Callithrix jacchus: one gene and its partner. The protein of the gene in region 1 purifies or fractionates together with the protein of each later gene. This does not show direct contact. Links are inferred from orthologs where the notes say so. Each region holds a gene or a part of one and is shown on either strand. Other genes may lie near its edges. The genes, in order: UBE3D and DNAAF2.

Region 1 (6,610 bases):
CAGCAACTGAGAAGGCACAATGCCTCGATTCCTCCAACAAAGAGGGTATTCCGCGCGCCTCCACCTCACAGGTGCGACCTCTGCCCCAGCTTGCGCACTGCTCCGCCCCAGCTCGGGAGGCTCTGGACCTGCCCCCGGGCCCGGCCCCGCCTCCAGCCTCCTTTGCCCGAAGCCGCCCTAGCGCCTCCGCCAGGTCCCGGCTCCGGCCCCAGCCCTGGCCCTCCAGTCCCCGCGCAGCTCCCGACTTCCCGGAAATCAGAAGGCGGCTGACCAGCTTCGCGGCTCCAGGCGGGGCCAGAGGGGCAACACCCCCGACGCCACAGCAGTCAGACCCGCTAGGCGTCCCGGGGGCTCAGAACCTAGCCTATCCTGGCCGAGGAGGATGCTCAGAGCCGGCGACCAGCCAAGCGACCGCACTGGGAGCGGGAACATTTTTACCTGCTGCGGGCTCAGCCGCTCCCCGCCGGCACCGCTCTCCTGGCAACCGCGGCAGCTACACCGAGGCCGGGAGCCGAAGGGCCTAGTGACAGCTCCCAGCGTGCACCGCGCTCGCGCCCACGCCGGCGTCGACGTCTGCGGCCTTCGATCCCCGCCCCCGGTCGGCTTCTTGCCTCCCGGCGATAGCTGTTACCACAGCGCCCTCAAGTGGACTGTCGCGGGAAGCGGCCATGGCTACCAATTTCAGGAGTGGCTAGAAAGGGATTTAACAGGTGTTTTCAACTTGCCAGCGCCAGTCTCATCTTGATGGAGAGTTTGAAGGGATAATAGGAACCGAAAACAGCTTTTAAATTATTGAAATAACTATGTAAATATTATTTTAATAGTTTCTCAATATTTCATGTGAGTAACCTGCGGCCCAGAGAGGTTAGGAGACTTGTGAAGTTAGGAGACAAATATTTGGTATCAGATTTGGAACTATTTTGAGTCTAGAGCTCTTTTCTGTCAATCATGTCTAGTTATTCCAAGGTGGATTGCACCGTTTTGTCAACACTGTAGGGTCCAAAAAATGATTGAAGTTTTTACAAATACGTAATTAAATATATAGCAATCTTTTAAGCTGACAAAACAATTATGAAGAGTAAGCTGTGCTAAGGAATATGTGTATTTCAATATAATGTGTCAATATTTAAACATTCAATAGCTTCGAGGATTAAAGATGGAGGATATGCATAGCTGAAATCATCATACTTCAAATAGATGAATTGAGACCAAATAGTAGTAAACTTAATTTTTTTAACTGAGTTGTTGCTTCCATGTATGATTTCAAATTATTGTGATAGATATAATAATTTGTGCGTCAACATGATGAACTTTAATAACCCCAAATACTAATTTTAGAAAAATTGTTTCAAGCTGTTATCTTAAAATATATGACAGGATTTATTTATTTACAATTTATTGTCTGGGCTAGGTGGCTCATGCCTGTAATCCTAGCAGTTTGGGAGGCCTAGGCGGGCGGATCACATGAGATCAGGAGTTCGAGACCAGCCTGGCCAACATGGTGAAATCCTGTCTCTATTAAAAATACAAAAATTAGCTGGGTGTGGCTACCGCCTGTAATCCCTGCTACAGGGGAGGTTGAGGCAGGAGAATCGCTGGAACCCAGGAGTGGGAGGCTGCAGTGAGCCGAGATCGCGCTGCTGTACTCCAGCCTGGGCAACAGAGTGAGACTCCATCTCGAAAAAATAAATAAATAAAAATAAAAAAGAATTTATTTATGGTCTAGGCCGGCACTATGGCTCACGCCTGTTATCCCAGCACTTTGGGAGGCCAGGGTGGGCGGATCACTTGTGGTCAGGAGTTCTAGACCAGTCTGGCCAACGTGGTGAAACCGCGTCTCTACCAAAAACATAAAAATTAGTCGGGCATAGTGGTGCGCGCCTGTACTCCCAGCTACTCTGGAGGCTGCGGCAGGAGAACTGCTTGAACCTGGGAGGCGGAGGTTGCAATGAGTTGAGATTGTGCCACTGCACTCCGTGTCTATATCTATATATATATATATATATGGTCTAATTATTTTGTTTAGAAATACTTCAAATTAATGTGTTTGGTGTGCAGTAATTATTACTTTGAAATAATAGAACATCAATAAACAAGGTTTTATGTATACAAGCCATCACTATTTTTGTTTCAAAAAATAGCAGTTTTTTGTTTTTAAGAAATCCTATTGTAAATTCTACCCTGGTCTTACATTTTAGTGGTTCTTCATTATAAGTACTTACATTATATCAGGTTCTTTACTGTGCCAAACTTTTCAAAACTGTCTTCTAGTCGTAACGGAATGACGAATTCTCTTAGTTTTTACTTCTGTGAAAGTGAATAGTGGAGCTGTACATACGTAATCATTCTCAACGTCCTTTTTTACCCCCTAAAAAATGGTTAATCCTGTATTCAAGATAGACTTCAGCCACACTCTTCTGCATCAGGTAACAAAAAACTTCCTTACGTTTTTGCACCTGTTTCAATTTTGGAGCTATCCTAAGTTGAGAAGCAATGGCAAGTCAATTCTTGAAATTTTTGTTGCTTTAGACAGAGGCTAACAAACTATCCTTGTTCATAAAAGAGACCAGGATAAAGTGGGTTTGGGGCGGGGAATTCTGCTCTTGGATCTCCTGGGGACAAAGCACCTGTAACACCTGCCTCCATCATCTCCTTCCCTTCAAGCTAGCCAGAGTGTACCCTAGGTCTGATTTTTATGGTAATTTCCAGGGAGGCTAACGCGTCAAGTCACGCTCATGAGAAGCAAAGTGGGAGGATAGCTTGCCTCTCGTCGCCCACCTTTCTCAGCACTGGGCCAAAGCCTGGTTTTGAAAACGCGCGCCCCGCCCCGCCCCGCCCCGCCCTCCGGGGTCCCGCGCGTTCACTGTAGCGCGCTCTCCGGCCGGCAAGTGGCGCTGTGAGCTGGTAGGCGGTGCTAGCCGCGCGTCTGGTACAGGCGCCTGCGCCGCAGCGACGCTGCTGCTGGTTGGTCCGCACGTGGAACCGCACCTGGTCACGTTGACCCGGGCCCTTTGGACCCTCCAGCTTGGTCCAGTCCGGGATTGGACGCTCGCCATGGCGACAACTGCGGCGAAGACACGCGTGTTTCTGGAGGTCCGGAGACAGCTGCAGAGCGCGCTGCTGATCCTGGGGTAAGAACTGGATCCTAGGCGGCGCGGTGCCCAGCACGCTTTTCTGCTCCCGGGGGCTGGGGGTTGGTGAGTCTCTCTCTGCTCTCTCGGAACGAGGGACTTTGAGTTTCTTGTTTCCAGTTGAGTACCTCTCGACCACTCAAAGTGAAGCTTTCCCCTGTAGTCGCCTCCGCTACCTCCACCCCTACTGACAGTCTGGGTATCTTTGGGGTGCTTTTTAGAATCTCAGGGTCTCAGCCCCACACCAGAGTTATGGAATCAGAACTTTTATTTAAACAAGATTCCCAGGAATCAAATGCACGTTAAGATTTGAGGAATGGTGATGTAAAACACCGTTGGCAGTGCCTGGCGTTTCCTACAAAACAATGCAAAAAATGCCTCGTCTACCTCTCTTCGGGATCCTCCTTACTGGATCAGTTCCTATGTGTGCGCTTCTTGTTTTGTAAATAACTTCGGGTCTTTTCTCTTCAAACTGCTCTTTGCAGAGAAACCACACAATCATTCAATAAACGTGAGTTTAGTGCACCCCCAAGAAAGGTTACAGACTTCTCATTGGAGCTCGTTTTTTTATTCATATTCTGAGTTCCAGTGAGAACGTTGAGCTTGTTATTTGCTGCACAAACAAGAAACTTTTAGGGAAAATGTTCTCTTTTTGTTTGAAAGCAGTTTTAATGATTTGTGGCGCCCTTGTCTATTCCTTTGTGATCGCTTTCTCAGAGAGAGATTAAGTTAGATGTTAAAATCCTGAGAATGTTATTACACAGTGTCACAGGTTGATGCTTAGTTTTTTCCTCTTTTCTCTCAATCTGCCAGATATCTGGTGTGGCAGTTTGGGATATGGCGTGAGAACTGAGTTCAAATGCTTGCTTCCTCACAAAGTTAGAATAATTTAATCTGAATTTCTTCAATCTTGAAATGGAAATAATACTTAGTACTCTAAATGTATTTCTTTTTCTCTTTTCAAAAATCATGAATTTGGACAAATATCTCCAATTCTGGTGCACCTTGTAATTAGGAGCCCAAGCCGTACCAAATCAAAACAAAAAACAAACCACACACACCAACAAACCCTCCCTTCCTCTCATCCAGGGTCCTTTCACAGTTCCCTTGGACTACTCTCCCTTGTTTAAGCAAGTTAGGAAACCTAACTTTGCTCGACTTAGTTTTGACATTTCTTGAACTGCTTATAAATGGATTCATGCAGCATATATATAGTTTCTGGCTGCATTCCTTCCATAATATTTTAAAGATTCATATTCCATCTATGTGGCTGCATGTATCAGTAGTTCGTTCCTTTTTCTTGCTGAGTTTTCCATTGTATGAATATACTACAATTCATTTATCTGTTCTCCTATTGTTGGATGTTTTTCTTGATTCCAGAGTTTGCTTATTATGACTACAGTTGTCATAACAATATTGTATAAATCTTTTTTTGGACATACATTTTCATTTCTTTTTAGGTAGGTACCTAAGGGTACTTACCTGAAATTTCTGGGTCATGGGACAAATGTGCGTGTTATTTTGTGAGAAATTACCAAACAGTTCTCCAAAGTGATTGTACCACTTTACACACTCAACCAGGAAAAAAAAGAGTTTCAGCTGCTTACATTCTCACTTGGGTTTAGTATTGTTAGTCCTATTAGTTTGAACCATTCTAATGGGTGTAAAGTAGTATCTTGTAGTTTTAATTTTCACTTCACTGATGACTAATAATGTTAAGTGCCTGGACTCAAGCAATCTGCCTGCTTTGGACTCCCAAAGTGCTGGGATTACAGGTGTGAACCACCATGCCCAGCCTCATTTTCTTAATAGTGTCCTTTGATGAACAGAAATTGTTATTTTAATAAAGTCCACTCTATTGCTTTCTTTTTCTTTAAGGGTTTTTTTTTTTTTTTTTTTTTGGTGTCTTAAATCTTTGCCTACCTCAAGGTTGTGAAGATTTTTTGCTAGGTTTATTTTCTGGGAGTTATATAGTTTTAGCTTTTACATTTTGATCTATGATCATGTTGAGTTCATTTTTGTGTTTGCAGTGAGGTAGGGATCAAAGTTCTTTTTTTTTTTGTATGAGGATATTCAGTTATTCTGTCACCATGAGTTGAAAAGGCCATAATTTCTCCCATTAAAATAATTCAGTATCTTCATGAGAAATCAATTGACTATACTGTTTGCATAGTATGTCTTTTCTACCCTCTTAACTTGTCTTATGTCTTTCAGTGTAAAGCATAAAACTGTAAAAATACTGTGTTTCTGTAAAAATAGCATAAAACTGAATGCTATTTTAAAGAATATATACTTTGGTGATTTTAAAAACATTCTGATCTGTGCGTTTTGTTTTGTGTGTTTTTTTTTTTTTTTGAGACGGAGTTTCGCTCTTGTTACCCAGGCTGGAGTGCAATGGCGCGATCTCGGCTCACCGCAACCTCCGCCTCCTGGGTTCAAGCAATTCTCCTGCCTCAGCCTCCTGAGTAGCTGGGATTACAGGCACGCGCCACCATGCCCAGCTAATTTTTTGTATCTTTAGTAGAGACGGGGTTTCACCATGTTGACCAGGATGGTCTCGATATCTTGACCTCGTGATCCACCTGCCTCAGCCTCCCAAAGTGCTGGGATTACAGGCTTGAGCTACCGCGCCTGGCCTGATCTGTGTGTTTTAATTAAAATATTTAGTTTATTTTATAGTTAATGTAAATATTGGTGTTCTCGTTCCTAATTGCTATGGTTTGGGTGTGTTTTGTCCCTATGTTTTGTCATGTTGATCCCCAGTGTGGCACTGTTGAGACATAGGGACTAGACTAGTGGGAGGTGCCTGGTTCCTGGGGGCAGATCCTTCTTGAATAGATTAATGCCCTCCCATGGGAGATGGGTAGGTGAGTTCTCTTTCAGGAATGGATTAGTTCCTGCAATAGTGGGTTGTTAAAAAGAGTCTGGCTTCCTCATTTTTCCATTCACAGATGTAAAGATCTATTTATGTTAAACAGTCTTAGCATTCTTGGGATAAACTTTGGCCATTCATTTATTCAATCCACAGATGTTTATTGTGTTCTTACTCTAGTACGGAAAATTCAAATTCTTAGTGCTGAGGATACAGCCATGAACAGTAATAGCAGCAAAGACAAGAATACTTGCCTTTGCTGAGCTTACAGTCTAATGGTGGCAGTGTGGAAGAGGCAGCAGAGAATATACAAAATAAATAAAATATAATAGAAGTAGAGAATTCCAAAAGGGACTGGGAGGAAAAAGTTATAATCTTTTATTTCAAATGAGAAATAGACATTTGAGTATTAAACTAAAAAGGGTGAGATGTAGAAGTGACATACTTGTGTGAGACAATTTCCATTTCTAAGAAAGTATGTTTGAAAGGGTTCCTAGTTCAGAGAGATGCGGGTGAGGTGGGGCAACACACAGCAAAACGTCTTATGGCAGTGTGCTGGCACATGTTTAATATTCTACTCTCCATGGAAACAAAAAGACACACGAAA
Region 2 (6,606 bases), on another chromosome or scaffold:
TTTCCTCAATGGATGAATTTTAGGTAAGAGAACATTTGTTTTGGGCAAGTGGGCTCTTCCACAACTCCACACTGTCTTTTCCCAAAGAGATTCTTCTGGGAAAGAGAACATCACATACAAGAAATTTGGCAAAACAGAGGGCAGGAACCCCGAGAGAATCTAATGAAACCTACGGGCCCTATGGGCCTCTACTGAGAACCACGTCCCCCAACCCCATGAGTCTGCCTCTACATATAATTTCAGAGGGTTCAGTAACTTTAAAGGCCATTAGCACTTCTAAACAACCAGTTGTAGTTTGTTTCCTTTTGAGAAGTATGGTGCGTTCATGTTGGAAATGCCTTTTTTAAGGTCAAACGTCCAGAATTTTGACGTTACAAAGGTGAATGAAAATAAGTTGACTGGTTATGCTCATTGACTTCAGGGTTATAACAGAAAAGAGTGCAATTTTACACATCCCTCAGGTGCTTTAAACCTTTTGGAACTCATCTTTATGTCTCAAAGTTATTTTAGATGCAAAGCTTTAAAACCTAAGTGTAGGGTGTTCTAAAACTTTTTACTAAACAAGTTCATAGGAAATTATAAAATATGGCTGGGTGCGGCGGCTCACGCTTGTAATCCCAGCACTTTGGGAGGCTGAAGCAGGTGGATCACCTGAGGTTCGGAATTGGAGACCAGCCTGACCAATATGGTGAAACCCTGTCTCTTAAAAAAAAAAAAATTATAAAATATAAGCAAACACACAAAAAAGTTTAATGACCTGCAATTCTACTATCAGAAATATTGTTAATACTTTGGTAAATATGCTTCCAGATTTTTCCCTATGCATAAGCTTTTTCCTATAAAAATATTTTAGGATCATACTATACATACTAAACTTGCTTTTTTCTTTACTATGTTAATTCATCTGCCTGCCCAATAATGTTCTAGGCATCAGAGTATCCAGTGGTAAACCAGAAAGGCAAGGTCCTAGATTTCATGATGTTTATTTACCTTTTTAAATGGGGAGAGCCATACCCTAAAGCAAGAAAATACCCAATATAAACCATGGTTTTAAAAAAAAACCCAGCCAGGAATGGTGGCTCATGCCTGTAATCCCAGCACTTTGGGAGACTGATATGGGTGGATCACCTGAGGTCAGGAGCGGGAGACCAGCCTGGCCAACATGGTGAAACCCCAACTCTACTGAAAATACAAAAATTAGCCGGACATGGTGGCAGGTGACTATAATATCAGTTACTTGGGAGGATGAGGCAGGGAGAAATGCTTGAACCCAGGAGGCAGTGCAGTGAGCTGAGATTGCACCACTGCACTCCAGCCTGGGCAACAGAGCAAGACTCGGCCTCAAGGAAAAAAAAAATGTTTTGGAGCTAGTGTGGAGGCTCAAGCCTGTAATCCTGTTATCTCACCACTCTGGAAGGCTGAGGCAGGATGATCATTTGAGTCCAGCAATTGGAGACCAGCATAGGTAACATAATAAGACCCCCATCTCTACAAAAACTAAAAAATTAGCCAGGCATGGTAGCACATACCTGTAGTCCCAGTTACTTGGGGGGCTGAGGCAGGAGGACTGCTTGAGCCCAGGAGGTTGAAGCTGCACTCCAGCATGGGCAAGAGGAGAACCTATCTCAAAAATACATACATACATATGTAAATAATTAAATGATGTTGATATAATTGCAAAACTGCTCTCTAGAATTATCTTACTGAAGTCTGTTCCCACCCTAAGGAAATACAGTAGTTGTAAGAATCTTCCATATTTTGGTAGTTTACATGTGGTATATTTGCATTTTATTATTAATGAAGTTAAAGTTTTTAAGTCCATGGACCACTGGTAATTATTTATGAATGGCCTGCCCATATGTCTTGCCCCAAATGAGTTTTTACTGGGTAAATATTATAGTGGAATTGCCAGAAAATGCAAAGGAGGTACACCGAAACTGAAATGTTGGCCGGGCGCCGTAGCTCACACCTGTAATCCCAGCATTTTGGGAGGCTGAGGCGGGCGGATCACCTGAGGTCAGGAGTTCAAAACCAGCCTGGCCAACATGGTGGAACCCTGTTTCTACTAAAAATACAAAAATTAGCCGGGTGTGGTAGCAGGCGCCTGTAATCCCAGCTACTCAGGAGGCTGAGGCAGGACAATTGCCTGAACCTGGAAGGCGGAGGTTGCAGTGAGCCGAGATCACGCCATTGCATTCTAGCCTGGGAGACAGCGAGACTCCATCTCAGAAAAAAAAATAAAGAAAAAGATTGAAATGTTAGTTTAGCAAAGTGAAGAAAAGTAGCTAAACAGGTTTGAATTAGCCTGTTGATACACTGGCTATATGACCTTCGTCCAGCTTCTCAGATCTCGTTTGTGAAATAGAGACGAGGTTTATCTTCAAGTGGTGTGAACAATGAATGGGATAATGTACATACTGCTGGAAATTATGACAGTTACTACAACAGTTATTCTGCAGAAGTAACTGTACCATGGAATAGGTATATAAAACAGAGAAAGTACGGTGGTGGGTTGGTTTGAAAAAATTAAGAGGCTATTCCTGGCATTTCCGCTATTCCACCATTTCTATCCCTCCTCCCGAATGTTAGTGGTGTCACTATGGCAACAAGCACGCGCTGCTCAAGGCTCAATTTTCCAGCCGTTACCGACACTCTCCGCTGCCCAGAGATTGTGAGGCGCATCCCCCCAACTCAGTTTCAGACTGATCGCCCTTGGCCCAAGGACTAGGAGCCACAGGGCAGTATGGCCAAAGTGGCGGCCTCCTCGTCGCTGGAGGACTTGGACCTGAGCGGAGAGGAGGTCCAGCGGCTCACCTCCGCCTTCCAGGACCCGGAGTTCCGGCGAATGTTCTCCCAGTATGCCAAGGAACTCACCGACCCCGAGAACCGGCGACGCTACGAGGCAGAGATCACCATGCTGGAGCGTGAGCGAGGGGTGGAGGTGCGGTTCGTGCACCCAGAGCCGGGCCATGTGCTTCGCACCAGCCTGGACGGAGCGCGGCGCTGCTTCGTGAACGTCTGCAGCAACGAGCTGGTGGGCGCACCCAGCAGCCGGCCCGGCTCCAGGGGCGACCAGGGCGCAGCGCCTGGCAGCCACTGGTTCCTGCCCTACAGCCTGGCGCCCGGCCGCGAGTACGCGGGACGCAGTAGAACCCGCTACATGGTCTACGACGTGGTCTTCCATCCAGACGCGCTCGCACTGGCCCGGCGACACGAGGGCTTCCGTCAGATGCTGGACACCACGGCCCTAGAGGCAGTTGAGAAGCAATTCGGCGTGAAGCTAGACCGCAGGAATGCCAAGACCCTGAAGGTCAAATATAAGGGGACCCGGGAGGCAGCGGTGCTGCGCACGCCCCTGCCCGGGGGCATCCCGGCCAGGCCCGAAGGGGAGCCGAAGGGTCCTCTCCCGGACTTCCCCTACCCCTACCAGTACCCGGCAGCCGCCGGAAACTCTGCAGCTCCCGGGCCCCGGGCGCCCTCTCCTCCGGAAGCGGCCTTGCAGCCCGCCCCCACCGAGCCTCGCTACAGCGTGGTGCAGCGCCACCACGTGGACTTCCAAGATTACCGCTGCTCCCGGGACTCAGTCCCGAGCCCAGTGCCCCACGAGCTAGTGGTCACGATCGAACTGCCGTTGTTGCGCTCAGCCGAGCAGGCGGCGCTGGAGGTGACGGGAAAGCTGCTGTGCCTCGACTCGAGGAAACCCGACTACCGGCTGCGGCTCTCGCTCCCTTACCCCGTGGACGACGGCCGCGGCAAGGCACAGTTTAACAAGGCCCGGCGGCAGCTGGTGGTAACGCTTCCAGTGGTGCTGCCGGCCGCGCGCCATGAGCCCACAGTCACCGCCGCAGCCGCGCCGGAAGAGTCCGCGGGTCTGCCCGGAACTGACAGCCAGGCCTGCACTTCCGCTCGCGAGGGGGCGGCAGGACCCGCGGGAGGTCGCGCCGAGGACCGAGGCCTCGATACCTCCGTGGCTGTGACTGCGGGCTCTGGGGTCACCACCCTGGGGGACCCCGAGGTGGCGCCCCAGCTGGCCGGCGCTGGAGAAGAGCATATCCCCGGGCTGGGGGAGCAGGACTTGAGTTGGCACGCGGGGTCGCCGCCAGGCAGCGGAGAGAAGCCATCTCCCGGAGGTGAAAGCTCACCCGGTGGTGGAGGCTCCTCTTCTATGTCCTTTCCGGGCCAAGCCTGGGAGTCTTCTGCGGGAAGAGAGAGAGCGCGCGGAGATTGCAGTGTGGAGACGCGCGTGGAGTCTGAGGGAACTGGAGGTGAGCGCTCCGCCCGCGCCATGGGTGGTCCCGGAACCGAGAGCTGGGAACCTTTGTGTCCTCCGTTACTGTGTAATCAGGACGAAGAAACCCTGACTCTGATCATTCAAGTGCCTCGGATCCAGCCGCAAAGTCTTCAAGGAGATCTGAGTCCCGTCTGGTACAAATTATGCTTCTCCACACAAGATTTAGTTTATTCCTTCTTTTTGCAATTTGCTCCAGAGAATAAATTGAGTACCATAGAACCTGTGATTAGCGTTTCTTCAAACAATGCAGTGATAGAACTGGCAAAATCTCCAGAGAGCCATGGACATTGGAGAGAGTGGTATTATGGTGTAAACAACGATTCTTTGGAGGTAACAGTTCTTTCCAGAGTCCTAATATTTGAAATATCCCATCTTATTTAAAAAATTTTCTATTACTGGCCAAACTTGGTGGCTCACGCCTGTAATCCTAGCACTTTGGGAGGCTGAGGCGGGCGGATCATGAGGTCAGGAATTCTAGACCAGCCTGGCCAATATGGTGAAATCCCGTCTCTACTAAAAGTACAAAAATTAACCGGGCGTGGCGGCGCGCGCCTGTAGTCGTAGCAACTCGGGGGGCTGAGGCAGAAGAACCGCTTGACCCTGGAAGGCAGAGGTTGCAGTAAGCTGAGATTAAGCCACTGCACTCCAGCCTGGAAGACAGAGCGAGGCTCCGTCGCAAAAAAAAAAAAAGAAAAAGAAAAAGAAAAAAAAGCTATTACAGGCACCCTTTAAGTTTATCCTAAACAAAGCATTTTCCATTATAACTTCTTGTAATGACTTGATATTGATGCACATGATGAAAGATGTCAGTGCATGTTGGACGGATTTTGAAAAAAAAAAAAAAAAAAAGAAACACGCATGGAGTCTGGTGGATGGGATTCAAATCTTCAAAGTTACCCCGAATATAGTCGTTTTTCTGAGATCCATTGAATATGAAGGAGACCATGAATGCATTTTTAGGGAGCGGTAGATCTCTGGAATTGTATGCAAAAAGTAGAGAGTGATCTCTTCCAGAGAAAAGGGCTATAATTTTAATTATAGTCTCAAAAAGGGTTTGTAACACAAGTAAGTTTAAAAAGCACTCTGTAATGGGCAACTTTGAAGCTGGTAATCATTTTTTCCGAGTTTAGAAAATAGAGCATAGGGGCTGGGCATGGTGGCTCACGCCTGTAATCCCAGCACCCAGGTAGGCCAAGGCGGGTGGATCATGAGGTCAAGAGATCCAGACCATCCTGGTCAACATGGTGAAACCCCGTCTCTACTAAAAATACAAAAAATTAGCTGGGCACGGTGGCACGTGCCTGTAATCCCAGCTACTCAGGAGGCTGAGGCAGGAGAATTGCCTGAACCCAGGAGGCGGAGGTTGTGAGCTGAGATCGCGCCATTGCACTCCAGCCTGGGTAACAAGAGTGAAATTCCATCTCAGAAAAAAAAAAAAAGAAAAAAAAACCCTCCAAAAGTGGTAAAATAAATAACTGGGCTAGATAATGTAGTTTGTTAGAATATAAAATATGAAACTGAGTATCTGTTTATGTAATCAGAAGTGGGAAATTTAGGAAAGGGCAGTTGCTTTCCTGTAATTGTTTTAGTAATTATGAAAATAACCCACAGTGTGGGAAGAAAACTTTGTTGACAAGGAATTAATAGAATATTCAATAATACATTTTAATCTGATTTTCAAGTATGCTAACATTTTAGCAAATAAACTTGATGAAAATGGGATTAGGGCAACTGTATTTTATATCTTTGAAGCCTGAAATAGATTTTTAATTACTTCACTAATTATCATATTTGCCAAGGCTGATGGAACAATAGCATCTAACTTTTTTTTTCTGGAGATGGAGTCTTGCTTTGTTGCCCAGGCTGGAGTGCAGTGGTGTGATCTCAGCTCAACCTCTGCCTTCTGGGTTCAAGAGGCAGCCTCCTGAATAGCTCTGGGATTACAGGCGCATGCCAGTACACCAGCTAATTTTTGTATTTTTAGTAGAGACGGGATTTCACCATGTTTGGTCAGGCTGGTCTCAAACTCCTGACTCTGTGATCAGCCAATCTTGGCCTCCCAAAGTGCTGGGATTATAGGTGTGAGCCACTGCACTTGGCCAGCATCTCTTTTGCTTTACTTTGTACTGGACCAGGCTCTAAGTGTTAAATTTTTGAAAAAAATCATGAGTAGTGGAACAAATGTAATAATATTATATGCATTATGCCTGTTGTGGCTTTCATGGTCAGAACTTTACAAATAAATACTATATATATGTATTGAAGTTTTCAGTGTTCACTGACAGTTTTCCTGGAGCTTCAGGCCTCTGAGATCA

What was found.
Region 2: the proteins of UBE3D (region 1) and DNAAF2 purify together in Homo sapiens (affinity purification with mass spectrometry; 4 studies listed by BioGRID and IntAct, counting the BioPlex papers as one, with this or other methods). This does not show direct contact. The link is inferred for Callithrix jacchus from reciprocal best matches to the Homo sapiens genes UBE3D and DNAAF2.

Annotation. Positions count from the first base shown.
Region 1 is NC_133505.1:88,582,789-88,589,398, reverse strand, and holds the start of UBE3D (E3 ubiquitin-protein ligase E3D), read left to right. Parts: upstream 1-2,941; 5' UTR 2,942-3,054; coding exon 3,055-3,131; intron 3,132-6,610. UniProt on the Homo sapiens protein: E3 ubiquitin-protein ligase which accepts ubiquitin from specific E2 ubiquitin-conjugating enzymes, and transfers it to substrates, generally promoting their degradation by the proteasome.
Region 2 is NC_133509.1:84,130,525-84,137,130, reverse strand, and holds the start of DNAAF2 (protein kintoun), read left to right. Parts: upstream 1-2,593; 5' UTR 2,594-2,743; coding exon 2,744-4,621; intron 4,622-6,606. UniProt on the Homo sapiens protein: Required for cytoplasmic pre-assembly of axonemal dyneins, thereby playing a central role in motility in cilia and flagella.